2 linked regions of the Arabidopsis thaliana genome follow. The protein of the gene in region 1 interacts with the protein of each later gene in a pairwise test. Each region holds a gene or a part of one and is shown on either strand. Other genes may lie near its edges.

Region 1 (8,043 bases):
TACATCTTTTCCGTTCAGTTTGTACCCAATCCTCATGCGCATCACAAGAGATTTCTGCAATAAACATTAAACCCTTAGTGTTATGTTAAGTCACTGAATCCACAGGCTCAGCCTATCTTTATTTGAGCATAGATTATGTTGTGGATCATCAAGTGCTATTCATCAATGCTGAGCACGGAATGTTGAAGACATAAAGTTAGATAGAAAGACGAACAGAGAATGTGCCATACCTTCCCCTGCTGGCTGTTAGTGACTCTTAGATTCTGCGTGATGGCACCACTACCGCTTGCCAGGAGTGTGTTACTGCTAGCTGGATCCAAGTGCAGCTGGAGGAACTGGAAGTTACACAAAAGAAAGAGAAGGTTAAAGAAAAAATTGAAATCTATTTACTGCTTTATCAATTGGGAAAGATGAATAAAGGGGAAAAAAGCAAAAAAAGAAGATAGATGTAATTACCTTTGGAACAGCAGCCTGGAATATAAAATCTGTGAAAGTATTGGGAGATAAATTAGTAAAAGTAGCCTGGACATTTGTCGTTTGCAGATTCCCTGGTGTCTTTGAGAAGGTGAACTCAATCTTCAAGGAGCTGCTCTCGTATGCAACAATAGGTGCATAAGCTGGACCATTGGTGGCTGCAATAAGGAGGAAAACTTGTTATTGACCTTTGTAAAAGAGTTTCAATGATTATACAGATCTTTTTCAGGTTAAGACTTTTTCCTACCTTCCTTCGATGGGCTTGGAGAAAGACCATCTAGCAAATCAAACATACCGGTGGACGAAGTTGTTGCTACGTGAGGTGGAGCTGGTGAAGAAAGTGTGTCTAGCGCAATTGAGGGATTATTGTTAACGTCAGCTATTGATAATAAACCAATAGATGATGTGCTGTTTTGTGCAGGAGAAGGTGTTCCAATTGATAGAATATCCAGCAACAGATCTGTGCCAGCTTTTGGAGCCTGGGTTGCACCTGAATCATTGGATAAAAAATGGAAGACCAAACATGAGTTATCCTTTTGCAAGGCAATGAGGAAAATGATTTTTTTAAAAACTTGTTCATTCAGAGACACATAGCAGATGAGCACGCCATAATATGAACGCAAGAGCTGTAGAACCGCCAAAGAACTAACCATATTGTGCTGACGATGAACCTAAGTCTACACCGAGAAGATCCTGAAGGAAATCTGTACCAGATGGACTAGGTGCAGCCATGATATCGTCAGAATCTAGGTCTAGCAAGTCCACAAGAGGAGCGACAGGAAGTTTCTCAACACCATTTTGAAGGCTAACTGAAGGCTTGGCCATGGTTGAAACTGATGCAGGAAAAGAGCCGGCCCTCCTCACATTGAAAGTAGCCTCATCCAGTACCGGCATTCTGTCAACCAGAGAAGACCTGTATGCACACATACCTCTATCATGAGCTTTGAGGGAGAGAGAATATGAAAAACTTACACTAGAAGATAGATGAGGAAGAGAGGCACAAGGGATTCCACCTGATATTTTTATGCCTGTCAACTATAGAATTGTATTCAATAGCTCTCTGCTGCATTTCAAGGAGAAGGCTTCCTTTCTGCTTCACAATTATGTCTTTAATTCTCCTGTCATTGAATTTTAGAAAACTTTTTAATTATCAATAGAGAGTTGAGGACAGGATGTACATGTATAATATATTTCTAATCTTTTTTCAGAAGGCAACGCGCTACAGTTTCTTGTAGACAGACCAAAATTTATTATTCATATACTAGTGCGCATATGCATCTTGTGTAGAGTTGAAAAGGGATAAGTGCAGATATCAGATGAACGAGTTGAGATAAAAACAGATAGCACAACGAGGTCAGACATACTCTGAAATAGAAGGAAAGCGGGATGACAACTTCAGTAGAGCAACCAATGCCATTGCTTTTGTAGTCGAATCTGAGTTATGGCGAGTAATGGCATCCTCGATAACGTCCACTGCATCAGATTCCGTTACCTGCTCAAGGCAGTCACATACTCGTTGCATATTTTTCAAAGCAAAAATGAAATCCCAAGAAGCAAAAGCATCTGCATATTTATCATGGAGCAAATAATGAATTAAGATTGCCATTGTGATGCTCACCGTTATTGGATCTTCAATACCAAGCATCCCCACATTGTTAACCAACAGATCACCATATTCCCCAATGCACCATACCGCCACTCGGACAAGGGTCTCCTGGTTATCATCTCAACGAAACCATATTAGAAAGGGTTACAACTGATTGAGGACTGAGCACAATCTAACATTAGAAAATAGCTACCTGTTCCGAATAAGTCAAGACTGATTTGTACAAGGCCCTAACTGTATATCCATGAAGCTCTGATGCATTGCTTATGACAACAATAAGTGCATGCCACACATCATCTTTCACAAACTTTCCAGCCTACTAACATGGAATAGATGACAATAGGTTATGACAGATACAAACAATGCATTTGAAATTAGCTTAAGCAGATATAAACTCTCAAACGATTTCAAAGAGTGCAATTAACTGGTAACACGTTACAGAGCATATTCTCGCGTTTGAATCCATACCTCACACAGAACCTTGAGCATCTGATCAATGTACCATAGTTTTTCTGGAGAAAACCTACATTATCAAAAAATTTAAAAAGTCAACAAAAACTTCAATCAACTAGACATTCACAGTAACTTTCCAATCATCCTGACCCCCAACTTTCTCAGAGTAAGTAGTCATTCTATTTCTTAAATAGAATACTTACTTTTCAACGATAAAACAAATTTTTGCACTAAGATCTTCCTTAAAATCTTCGTCGCTGATTTCCAAATAATCAATTAGCTCCTTTGTCAGTTGTGTGACATTGTTTTCATTCACCAAAAGAGTGACAAGCTCAAGAGCTCTTTTCCGGATAGAAGCATCTGGGTCCTATATTGTTATGGAAGCAGAAACCAAATTAGCATTTTTTATTTCTCTAAGATATACTTAGCAGTTAACATTGTATAAAATATTTTCCTGGTAATACTAATACCTTCACACATTCCAAAATTGTAACTCTGTGCCTTTGCACTGCTTGATCATCGAAAGTGATAGCTTTCATCAGCATGTTTAATGCAACATATCTGAGAGAACGAAAGTATGAATTTCATAAGGGAATGCAGCGTTTTTGAGAGAAACGAAATCAAGATTAGAAAAGGCAACGCTGGTTGGTCAGAAGAGCATTGTGTGCTTCATAGAGTTAAGCACATCCAAAGAAAGATGATAGACAGAAGAAAAATACAAGTAAGCTAGTTCCATTACAAACATATATAATACCATACTATTATCAAATAAAATTGAGGTGTAGGGGGTTGAACCTGATGTTATTGTCGCGGTTAGATAAGAATCTTCCCAAGATATTGATAGCAAGCACACGCAAGCTATTGGTGTCTTCAATGGCCATGATTGTTTCAACACACTCATAGAGTACCGCATTCCCTGCGTTTTTGTTTGATTCAGTTTTTGTTGCCACCTACAATAGCATGAAACCAACGAGAATAAATATCAAAGAACCAGGATAACAAAGTATCCGACAGTAGATCCCTGACTTTGAACTCAAAAGATTTCCAAAACAAAGCATGTAACAGACGCAGGATGCATTCATCATGGTGAGATAGAAAAGGATTGGCGCAGCCTACAGATTTATATGTCCGTCCACAAATCAACACTTACTATGACAACAAAGACCGGTATCAAAAGAGGGAGAATTCAAGTACGGCAAAAACTCAGTAACCAATAAGTCTTCTATCTACCAAAGAGAATAATAGCCCATGAACCCTATCAACGAAATGAAATTCTTTCTCCATTATGCTATATTTAACAGAATCAGTTCCAGCACATGAGAGAGCATAGCTATCTTACAACATTTTTCCGAAAAAATATATGTAAGGTAACTGGAACAAAAACCATAAACCGTTGATGTTTAACAAAGGAATTACATCGCAAATGTGAAGATGGTCAACCATATCCAGAATCACTTGCTAAACTATGACTAACCTGTGCAAGTATATCTGTCATCAAATCACTAGCATCAGCATCACCCTGGCCTAAAACACGCAAGAGCCTGAGCAACCGTATGTGGAGAAAAGGGTCTGTGATCCCTGCAACATCATACTCAGGCTGATATGCGCTATTAGTAATATCCCTCAAAGTTTTTATCAGTCCCTCTGTGCATTTCTGCAGAGACAAAACAAAGACAAGGGTTTGTCAAAACTGACGGTCTGATAAAACAATATAACAACCTGATTGTCTGCCTCATTTCAGCAGAGTAATCTATTTATAAGTGAATACCACAGATATCAAACTTTATTGCAAGAGAAAAATAGTACACAAAAGCATCATACAGGTAATATAGTATCATATGTACGCATATTCAATTAAATTACGTCGATGCTCCTGTATGCATAAGTAGAGTGTTCTGTATAATATTTATAGACTTACCGTTCTGAAGTACTCTAGGGCTTCATCATTAATCGTGCATAATTCATAACAAAGTTGAACTCCTGTTATAAGAACCCCATGATGCTTTTCTTTAAGCAAGGAAGCAGCAGCATTTACGAAGTTTTCTGCTAGATCTGGAACTTTCCTTATTATTCTAGTAGAGCAAAGCGCCGCCTGCATATAATACAACATAAATGGTAAAGGCAATGAAGGAAAAAAAAAAAGCGACTAAACTCCAGGAGACCCTGTATATGAATTAGAAAACACTTCACCTTCTTTCGGATATTAGGGTCACGAAACTGGATTAATCTTTCTACTTCTGGCGCAAGATCACGGGCCATTTCTGCTGAACAAATATTCCCTAAAGCACAGAGAGCAAGTCCTACAACATACTGGTTCGAGTGATTAAGATCTCTGCACGTGACTTAAGGTTAAACAGGAACAAATCTATTTAAATATTTTTCTCCTTAATTCCCATAACAGCAATGCAATCAAAAATCAAGTGTTCTCTAGTATTTTTTAACATAGAAGAAGAATCCATTCAAAGGCCAAGGTATCAAGATTTAATACTAGAAATTAGTAAGGATACTGTTTTAACGAATTTGTGACAAGCATCAACACTTCTTGTCTCTCATCAAGAAGCAACATTAGCCCTAGATATCCAATCCTCTTCTCTGGAAATCCAGGAGATGCAATTAGCTTCAAGCACTCCATCTGCCCAAAGTGTGTGGGATAACCCAGCATGTGTATAAACATGAGTTTCGCAAGGTTCCGGTGCCGATCATGCGGGTCATCTTCATTAATCAATGCTCGAATATCGGCACACTCCTTTCTTACAACAGCTCGCTCCTCCGCAGCTGTTTTGCATGCTCTTATGGCACGGATCATGTCCCTGAATCATACTCATATGTCCACTATAACTTCAGAACCATATACAATAATCCGATCTGATTCCACTATTAAACCCCAACAGCAACATGACCAATCCAATATTCAATTAAATTAAGCAAAAGGATTACCAAAAATCCTTAGTGTGATCATGTTCTTAGACTAAAATCAAAATTCTAAATGGAATCAGAAACACCAATACCAAATTCATCTTCGAAACAGGCCAATCAACAAAATTCAATCCTCAAATGAAAACGAGCTCAATTACATCATGTTATATTCAAATTTCATTTGTAAGCTGATCAACGACTAAGAAACCTGAAACAGAAACGATAAAAAGGAAAGAAGAGAATCAATTTACCTTAAACGAGTACCAGAAGAAAAGGGATTCATGATTTGGGGTGTTCAAGAGTTGGACCTTGGTCCACCGGCAACTTTACGAGGAATCTGAAGAAAATGAAAACTTAGCCGGGAAGAAGAGTTTCGCCGCCGGGATTGTGAAAATCCGTTACCGGAGTTTCGAGTAGCTGATCAATACGAGAGAGAGAGATGAAAATGAAACTGAGGATTTGGATCTCGATGGACGATGCTCGTTTTTTTCTTCTCAGTCTTCGTAAACCATAATTGCCAAATTAAATGCGTTGTATAAACATGACTTCCATTTCCACCTAAACGGTAACGTTTCGACCAGCAATCCTCTCAAAACAAAAACATAGACTGGGCCGTTTCTTTATAGTTAAACACATAAATGGGCCCTACTTGGGCCGTTTTTATTAGTCAAATTTGAGAGGGTCGATGATACGCGCTCTTTCATTGGTTGTTACACAAATTCTCCCCTACACTTGAACACATCATAGTATCGCTCAGGCCCTAGTATCTTTTTAAAACCTTTAAAGATGCTAAGCAGCAAAAATAAGTAACACAACACAAGTTACACAGAACAGTCGCTTTCTCCTCTCGATTTTGACATGGCTTGGGGATTTTCGTCCGTGTCTCTCTTCTTGTTCGTCGTTTTCAATCTGGGTATATTTTCAAAAATCTGTTAATTCAGTTGAATTTCCCAACCCAAAATTCGAATTTTTAATTTTCCTCATGATTTTGTTACAGTGAGTGGTAAGATAGTTTTAGAAGAAGGGTACGAAGTCACAACGGTGGTCGATGGCCATAAGTCTGGTCTGAATCCATACACGATTCATGCTTTACCAGGATCTTCTAATCTGATCGTCCTTGATTCTTCCGGCAGTACATTTTACACTACTTCCTTTCCTTTGTCCGTTGGTAAACACCCACAAAACCACTCTTTTGTCTCATCTATTAATCGGATCATTATAATTGTGTTTGTATATGAGTTGTAAATTCATGGATGCATAAGTAAATGTTTAGAGCTTGTTGATTTTGATTGCAAGTCTTGACCTTCATTTTTTCTTTCTCCGTAATCTCAAATTGGACCACAATACTAATATGTGTGTGTATGTGTGTGAAACGATCAACCTGCAAATAAAAGTTCTAAACTTTACTATAAGTGAAAATTTTGTTTATCTTTCTTTCAATTGAAGTTTGAGCTCACTTTGAGTATGTGTGTGTGGTTGTGCAGATAGTGTGATAAACCGGTTTGCTGGGGATGGGAGTTCGGGTCATGTAGATGGTAAAGCTGGTAACAGCCGGTTCAGCAAACCCCGTGGTTTTGCTGTGGATGCTAAAGGGAATGTTTATGTTGCTGATAAGAGTAATAAAGCTATACGGAAGATCAGCTCTTCAGGTGTTTGTTTAATCCATTTCTTGTATTCCTTTTGTATAAATGCTAGTTGTTGTTGTTGTCTAATCTTAGTTTGTTGAAAGAGCCACTTAGTTTATTTTGATTATGCATGTTTTATTTACTGGACTTTGTAGGTTCTGTAACCACCATTGCTGGAGGGATCTCAAAGGCATTTGGACACAGAGATGGACCTGCACAGAATGCTACTTTCTCTAGCGATTTCGAGATAACTTTTGTTCCTCAAAGATGTTGTTTGCTTGTTTCTGATCATGGAAATGAAATGATTCGCCAGATAAATCTTAAGGAGGAGGATTGCCTCGAAAACTCTCATTCTAGTATGTCTTTTCTATAAGTAATCTTTTGTGGATTTGACTAACCATGCCTTTGGAAACTTCAACGATTCTTCTTTCACTGTTTCAGATTTGGGGACATACTCTCTTTGGTCAATAGGGATTGTCCTTTCCTGCATTCTCGGGGTAGCCATTGGATTTGCTGTTCGCCCTTACGTCATCCGTCATGTAAGTTTTTTTTAATCTATCCTCATATTACATACTAGTGTATAATCAACATATCAAATCTCTTAAACCAAATCGTTATAGACAGGAAGAAGTGAACCACCTCTCGTTCATCATGACATGGAAGCTTCTCCTAACCAAATTGGGGGAACAAGTTCTGACCTTCTTCTCCTACATTAGAAACCGAGTTGCTGAATCAACCGTTTATTCAGTATTAAGTAGACTAGTTATGATGATCGTGTCTCACCTTTCCCTCATGTATTCCGCCCTAAGTAGTTTAATTTGTTCGATGGTATCTAGCCTTTTCTTCATGTGTCAACCCAATAATGTAGCTATTTTAGACAAAACAGTCTCTGTGTCTGATCCCGAGAGTCCAGGTTGCGGCAACCCAAAGCCGCCCCTTTCACTGAAACCCTCTGATGATCTTATTGAC
Region 2 (6,225 bases), about 12 Mb from region 1:
ATTTCAGATCAATTAAAATAGAATGAAATTTTGATAATTAATTAAGTATGTGTATAAAGAAAGAAATAAATATATTGCATCGTTTTCCAAATTATAGTGATTGACGAATAAAATATGATTTTCCTTATTTTAGAAGGTTAATCGTGGTATTTAATTAAAACACCTGGTTTATTTATGATATAACGTAGACATGTCAGTTCAAATATTTAATTAGTTGATTACAAAGATAAGTACATGTCAACCTAAAATTTAATATCATCATTTCAACCCAAAAAAAACCTGAGATTATATATAACGGATCATTCAATGCAAGATGCTTAATGCCACCGTCACGTAACGAAATAATTGATTTGCTTCCTTTTTGGTTAATAAATATTAAATAGATCAAATGTGTACACTTTCTCATGACTTGTTAAATTGAGAAAGTGATATTCGTTATGATTAATGGACGCCTAATATTACCTTTAATGGGCTAAACTCAGGCCTACAAACTTGGCGGGTAAATTATAAACATTTCAACGGCGTCAAAATTTCGAAGTTAAGGCGAATTTCATTGTTAACCATGATGAGTCTTGAGGTCAAGAGCATTCCTTTTTTTCATTGGCAAGTTTTTTTTTTTCTTTTTGTAACCATTGAATAAAATTGACTAATTATATAATCTGAGAAAGAGTGGTTTACAGAAGAAAAATCTAAGGACCAATGTTTTATTTTGTTACTTCCACATTCTTCGGCATAATGTTGTCTATATTAACCAATCAAGACCATATTTTCCAATAACCAAAGAGATTCCTTTTTTTGTTGAAGAACAATAAAGACTAATGGGACCGATTAAGAAGTTTAAGAAGTATATAATCACCACGATATTCTTCTCTACGGTGAACTACGCTTATGGCAAATTCAAAGATTATGGAGCCAACAAGATAACCGAAACAATAACCGGGACTGACCCGCAATCAGACTAATCCAAGGCGATCTTGTTCTGGAGAGTTACAACTAAATAAAAGTCTTTCTTATATCATTGCAACGTAGTTCATATCAGAGCCTGGACTGAATAATACTTACATAAAAACTAGAGAATCACCTGGTGGAGGAAGATGTGGTGGTTAAAGATCTGTCTGAAGTGTTGTCTATGATGCTGCGCTGTAACTAATTGTGCCTATGTTCCGGTGTGCTGCTACTGCAACCGCTGCAGCTCCTGCTGGACCAAACTGTGATTGTGCCTGCAACAGCTTAGCATCAATGGCCATATGTGTGTTGTTGTTTAATTGATCTGTCTTCGGGAGCTGTGGTTGAAAGTAAGGGTTTGGGTGGTTCATAGTCTCAACGTCTGCTTGGTTAGTTGTAGCAGCTGGTGGCTCAGTGGGACTGAATTGGTGGACAGGATTTTGTGGCTTTGGTGGAAAAGACGAAGCTTCTATGTTGCGGTTCTCCGGGTTTGTCATGGTGTTTGGTCGGAAGTAGCAATGAGGAGATGAAACCGCGCTTCTGAAATAAGCTTCTTTGAGGTTCCTGCCATTCTCATAAGATACAGATGATTCCACAACACGACCTGGTCTACCTGTAAAACATAGGGTGAAAGTTAGTTGAAGTTTCTAACTTTAGGAAATAATATTTGGAGATATGATTGAGACCTGATGGTGGAACTCTTGGTGGAGGTCCGATGGATTTAGTAGGATACGCGGAAGTTGATGGATGTCCTGCAGAAGAAGCTCCATTTTTTGAAGGCTCGAAAGAAACACGTCTACTATCTGTTGCACCCAAGTTGGGTTGCGAGGTGGAATGGACTACAGTTGAGTGAACCGTAGACCTGTGGAAAACAATCATATCTATTAGAATTAGAAGAGTAGAGAACATATGAAAGTTTTTAGAATTAGAAGAGTAGAGAACATATGAAAGTTTGCTTGAGGCCTTCGACCATATGCTTCACAAATGCTAAGCAGTAGCAGAAGAAAGAACAAAAGAATAAGCATATTCCCTACAGTCGACTTGTATATAAAGAATGAGAAAACATACCGCGGTAGTGATGCGTGTTTCCTCTCGAGAGGTATGACCGGCCCATTTCTACTGCTATTTTCCTCTAAGTAAGTGAACTGCTGTCTAAGATGTCCAATGGCGCTGCAAGTGAAAAAGTAAAAACATGAATAAAAAGCCAGGCAGAGGTACGCGATTGGACATAAATTCAACGGGAGAAAGAAACAAGAAATGTTTCATTTGGTAAATAATAATAAAAGGTAGGAAGAAATTCAAACCTAGGATATACAAAATTAGACCCCTCAGATCCGCTCATATAGTCCTTGAGCAACTGAGGATGGTACTCCAGTATTTCTCTGTATATTAGTTCTCTAATGTCGTCCTTTGTCAACCTTCGCCTCTCAAATTCAAACTCCATTTTCGAGATTTGCTGACTTGAAGGTTCTCTTTCAATCTTAGAAAGACCCTTGAAGTAAGGATCAGCTAATGCCTATCGAAAAACAAAAAGATAGCAAAGTAAGCAGAGAGATACACACAAGACGCAAGGCAGCTTTACAAAGAGGACCGAAGAAGAATCTAATTACAAAGTGAAAAAGACAGAAAAGAGACCTCTGCAGGAGTCGGTCGATCCTTTGGATCGAAAGCCAACAGCCTCTGCAAAAGACGGAGTGCTAATGGATCTGCTTTGGAAAATTTTTGCGAGAAGGTGACAGGATTTTTCTTCCTCATTTCAGTCAAGTATTTTCTAGCTTTATCATTACGAACCTGCATCAGAGAAATAAATGTTTAGCTATACAGTTCAATATATATACGTACTCCAGAAATTAATGTGAAGAAGAAAAACGGATCATACTCCAGAAATTGTTTCTGATTTTGGTGTGCCAAGAAGATCAGTAATCAACTCCAACTGATGGACAACACTTTTTCCCGGAAACAATGGCTTCCCTGTTAGTACCTCTGCAAAGATGCAGCCAATGCTCCAAACGTCGATAGCTGGAGTGTACTGCAGAATAATTTTGACTGTAAATCAGATTATGATGAAAAAACAAAATCCATGAATATGAAGTTGCAGATGCAAAAGAAACCACTCAATGAACATAACCTGATACAAGGTTACCTGATTCATAGATTTTCAACTTCGGGGAGAGTTCAAGTCATCCCTGAACAAGAATTATTTTAATATCCCACTGGGGCACAACTCTATACTTATACAAGTAACATCAAATATCAGCTATTAACACTAATCTGCATATATTCTACACTAAAGAAGACTAATCTGTTCATAAGACCTAAGCATAGCCAATTAGAATGCATAGAAGAAATCCACAGTAACACCTACCTTCGAAAAGAATGATCCACAGAGCTCAGGTGCTCTATACCATCTTGTGGCAACATAGTCCTGCATTGCGATTAAATGAGTCAGAGAGAAAAATCAAACACACAAATTAACGGCTAACAAACAAAAGGTCTCCTCCTCGAGGCTACTAACCGTCCAAAAGACTGTCGTAGGAGTATCATTAAACGCTACTCTAGCCAATCCAAAGTCACAAACTTTCAACTTGCAATTTGCGTTTGCAAGTATATTCTTTGGCTTAAGATCACGGTGATAAACATTAGCTGCATGAACAAAAGGATAACAGTAAGTTACAACCAGAAAAAATACAAAACATGCTGCCAAGATTCACAGGTCTGAAACAATGAAACGAATCACACCTGTATGCATGAACTTTAAAGCACGAAGCATCTGATAAAGGAAAAACTGGTGGTGTTCACGAGTCAAATCATCATTAGCTTTAATAACTTGATGAAGATCTGATTCCATGAGCTCAAACACAACATAGATATCTTTAAACTCTCTCTTAGAAGGAGGCAGCATAATGCTTTTGATCTCCACAATATCAGGATGCCGTAAAAGCCGAAGAAGCTTCACTTCACGGAGAATACGAAGCGCATCAGAAATATGTTCAAAGACATCATTAATCTTCTTAATAGCAACTTTCTCTCCAGTATGTGTATCAATAGCTGCACACACAACTCCATAGCTTCCTTTACCAATAACTTCCAGAATCCTATATCTGTTTGCATCACCATACTCTGTGAAAAACTCCATCTCTTTCGTGCCCTAGTGAATCACAAAAGTAGACAAAACACAAACTTTATCCACACATCTTATTTATGCTCATGCAACAAAACCAAACCTAATTGCAATTGAAAAAGGAAAGATTTTATTTTTTTTGTCTTTAAATTTGTAAAAGGATAAGACTTTATCCTCTGTTTCCCACATTTAGAATCAAAGCATGATTGAGAGAGATAGAGAGCAAGAAGCGAACCTTCTTCACTTGATTTTGTTGCATCTTCTTCTTCAAAATTATCAAAAATCTGGATCGGCTTTTCGAAAAGTAAAAAAAAAAAAAAAACCTAGATTGCTAAGAATCCGAAAACTAGAAGAACTCAAAATCAAGCCCAGTCTGTGAAGAAGACGATACAGAGAAGAGCAAAACCTAGATCCAGCGATCGAAGAAGAAGAAGACGAGAGAGGATTTTAAAAATACCGAATTTGAGATATTTTTTCTAAATTTGAATAAAAATAATTTCTAATTCTAGCAATTTCTCGTGGTACTTATTGCGTACGGGTGTGACAAATCCCAGATAGTGGCAGTTTCGTAGTTTTAGACAACATTTGAGGGTAAAGTAAATATTGGTTTTCTCCCACTGTGGTCTGTGGACGACCTTTTTGGAAAATGACCCAATGGTTTAGACACCTGTTGCTGGACTTGGACCGTTTTATTTTTCTTAAATTCCGATTTTGACCCCTATCTTAATTTTGTTTTGATTCTAACCATTCTTTTTGATAAGTGGTCAATTTAACCCCCACGTGATAGTATTTCTCGTACCACTGAAAGGAATATTATTAACATTATCTCAATTTTGCTTATTATATTCCTTGATTTAAATTTTTAAGATTGAAAAATCTATATACAATTGACTAATTCATATGTAAATAAATATTGTTGAAGGATATTTGTCTTAGATTTTAATTTATTTTGGTAAAGACGATACACGATTAATATATTAGGATAAAATACCATCTTTGATGAACATTTATTCCATGTAAATCAACTAACCTTGAGAAAAAGACCTTCCAAGTGTCAAGTTGTTTGCTTGATACTATGGGATGATAAAAACAAAATCAAAAGAAAAAAAAAAACTGCCATCCTCATTGGTATATGACTTAGTATTTGATAGAAAATAAAATAAAATAAATAGATTAATAATTTTGCAATTCGTGTGAAACTAATATTCACATGTCAATTTACACAATTTGGCTTTTGTATTTATTGAAAAGACCAACATATTTAGTGTCTGGCTCATATTAAAAGTTTATCACAATAGGGGCAAATCCACAAAAAGGTGAAGATTATGATAATATTATAACTGATCTTGATTAAAACAAATCCAACATCTTATTATTCATTTGTATCTGAGGCATTCAAATCCAAAGTTGGTTCATTATCTAAAGTACAAAATATCATAATTTCAAATTATCATACTCCATATAATTTCACACTATACGACGATGTAGGTGGTGCATGTGTCAATTTATTGTCAATATTTTAAGGCGTTATAACTTATAACTAAAGTTGATCCTTTTTGCATATTTCATTGCTTTTCATTTTCTTCTACTTTCGGTTTTAAAATCATAATTTTACTCTCTTTTGACTAAGTGCGCATTTTAAAATAATTATCGGCCAAAGATAAATATAAATGATGGTTGACTGGTTCTATCTATTTAGACCAGGCTCTGCATAATATATATAACCAGCATATCTATTTTTAAAATAGTTTTAATGGTTTTTCAAAATGATATATATAATATTTTGAATTGCAAGTTTAATAATTCGAAGATATATATATATATATATATAATCATGAGTCAGAATTCAACAGAGTGGACACAATATTACCATTCATCACATGAATCATGCTTTTCGTGTATGTATGTTTTAGAGTTTTGACTGGAGGAGCCAAAATATCTCCACCAAGCAGATTTATTTTGTTTGTTTATTTATTTGAGTTACATCTTATTAAAATTCCATGAACCATATATAATGATAGAAGAAAAAAGGGATCACCCATAAATAATGATAATTTGTGCACAACTATATATTATTGTTTTCTTAACTTTTGGTTGCCAACAACTCTATATTATTAGTGCAAATATAATAATGTTGATGAATAAAAGACAATGCATCC

The links. The genes of interacting proteins can lie anywhere in the genome.
Region 2: the proteins of GAMMA-ADAPTIN 1 (region 1) and MPK18 interact in a two-hybrid assay, tested with the Arabidopsis thaliana proteins (one large-scale study listed by BioGRID).

Annotation. Positions count from the first base shown.
Region 1 is NC_003070.9:8,439,068-8,447,110, reverse strand, and holds the start of GAMMA-ADAPTIN 1 (gamma-adaptin 1), read right to left. Parts: upstream 6,033-8,043; 5' UTR 5,733-6,032; coding exon 5,701-5,732; intron 5,658-5,700; exon of another isoform or gene 5,344-5,657; coding exon 5,041-5,343; intron 4,866-5,040; coding exon 4,724-4,865; intron 4,626-4,723; coding exon 4,452-4,625; intron 4,188-4,451; coding exon 4,008-4,187; intron 3,484-4,007; coding exon 3,329-3,483; intron 3,095-3,328; coding exon 3,004-3,094; intron 2,901-3,003; coding exon 2,737-2,900; intron 2,604-2,736; coding exon 2,549-2,603; intron 2,397-2,548; coding exon 2,274-2,396; intron 2,189-2,273; coding exon 2,093-2,188; intron 1,967-2,092; coding exon 1,839-1,966; intron 1,593-1,838; coding exon 1,488-1,592; intron 1,388-1,487; coding exon 1,125-1,387; intron 965-1,124; coding exon 722-964; intron 633-721; coding exon 457-632; intron 336-456; coding exon 231-335; intron 55-230; coding exon 1-54. Other genes in the region: AT1G23890 (NHL domain-containing protein), read left to right, coding at 6,308-6,362, 6,447-6,617, 6,934-7,098, 7,230-7,430, 7,516-7,613, 7,699-8,043. UniProt on the Arabidopsis thaliana protein: Subunit of clathrin-associated adaptor protein complex 1 that plays a role in protein sorting at the trans-Golgi network and early endosomes (TGN/EE).
Region 2 is NC_003070.9:19,969,834-19,976,058, forward strand, and holds MPK18 (mitogen-activated protein kinase 18), read right to left. Parts: upstream 4,561-6,225; 5' UTR 4,326-4,560; coding exon 4,302-4,325; intron 4,094-4,301; coding exon 3,685-4,093; intron 3,589-3,684; coding exon 3,461-3,588; intron 3,371-3,460; coding exon 3,311-3,370; intron 2,975-3,310; coding exon 2,825-2,974; intron 2,737-2,824; coding exon 2,581-2,736; intron 2,462-2,580; coding exon 2,250-2,461; intron 2,116-2,249; coding exon 2,014-2,115; intron 1,808-2,013; coding exon 1,632-1,807; intron 1,559-1,631; coding exon 1,128-1,558; 3' UTR 501-1,127; downstream 1-500. UniProt on the Arabidopsis thaliana protein: Mitogen-activated protein kinase (MAPK) that is specifically regulated by PHS1 and MAPKKK20 and mediates signaling that regulates cortical microtubule functions, maybe through regulation of microtubule dynamic instability.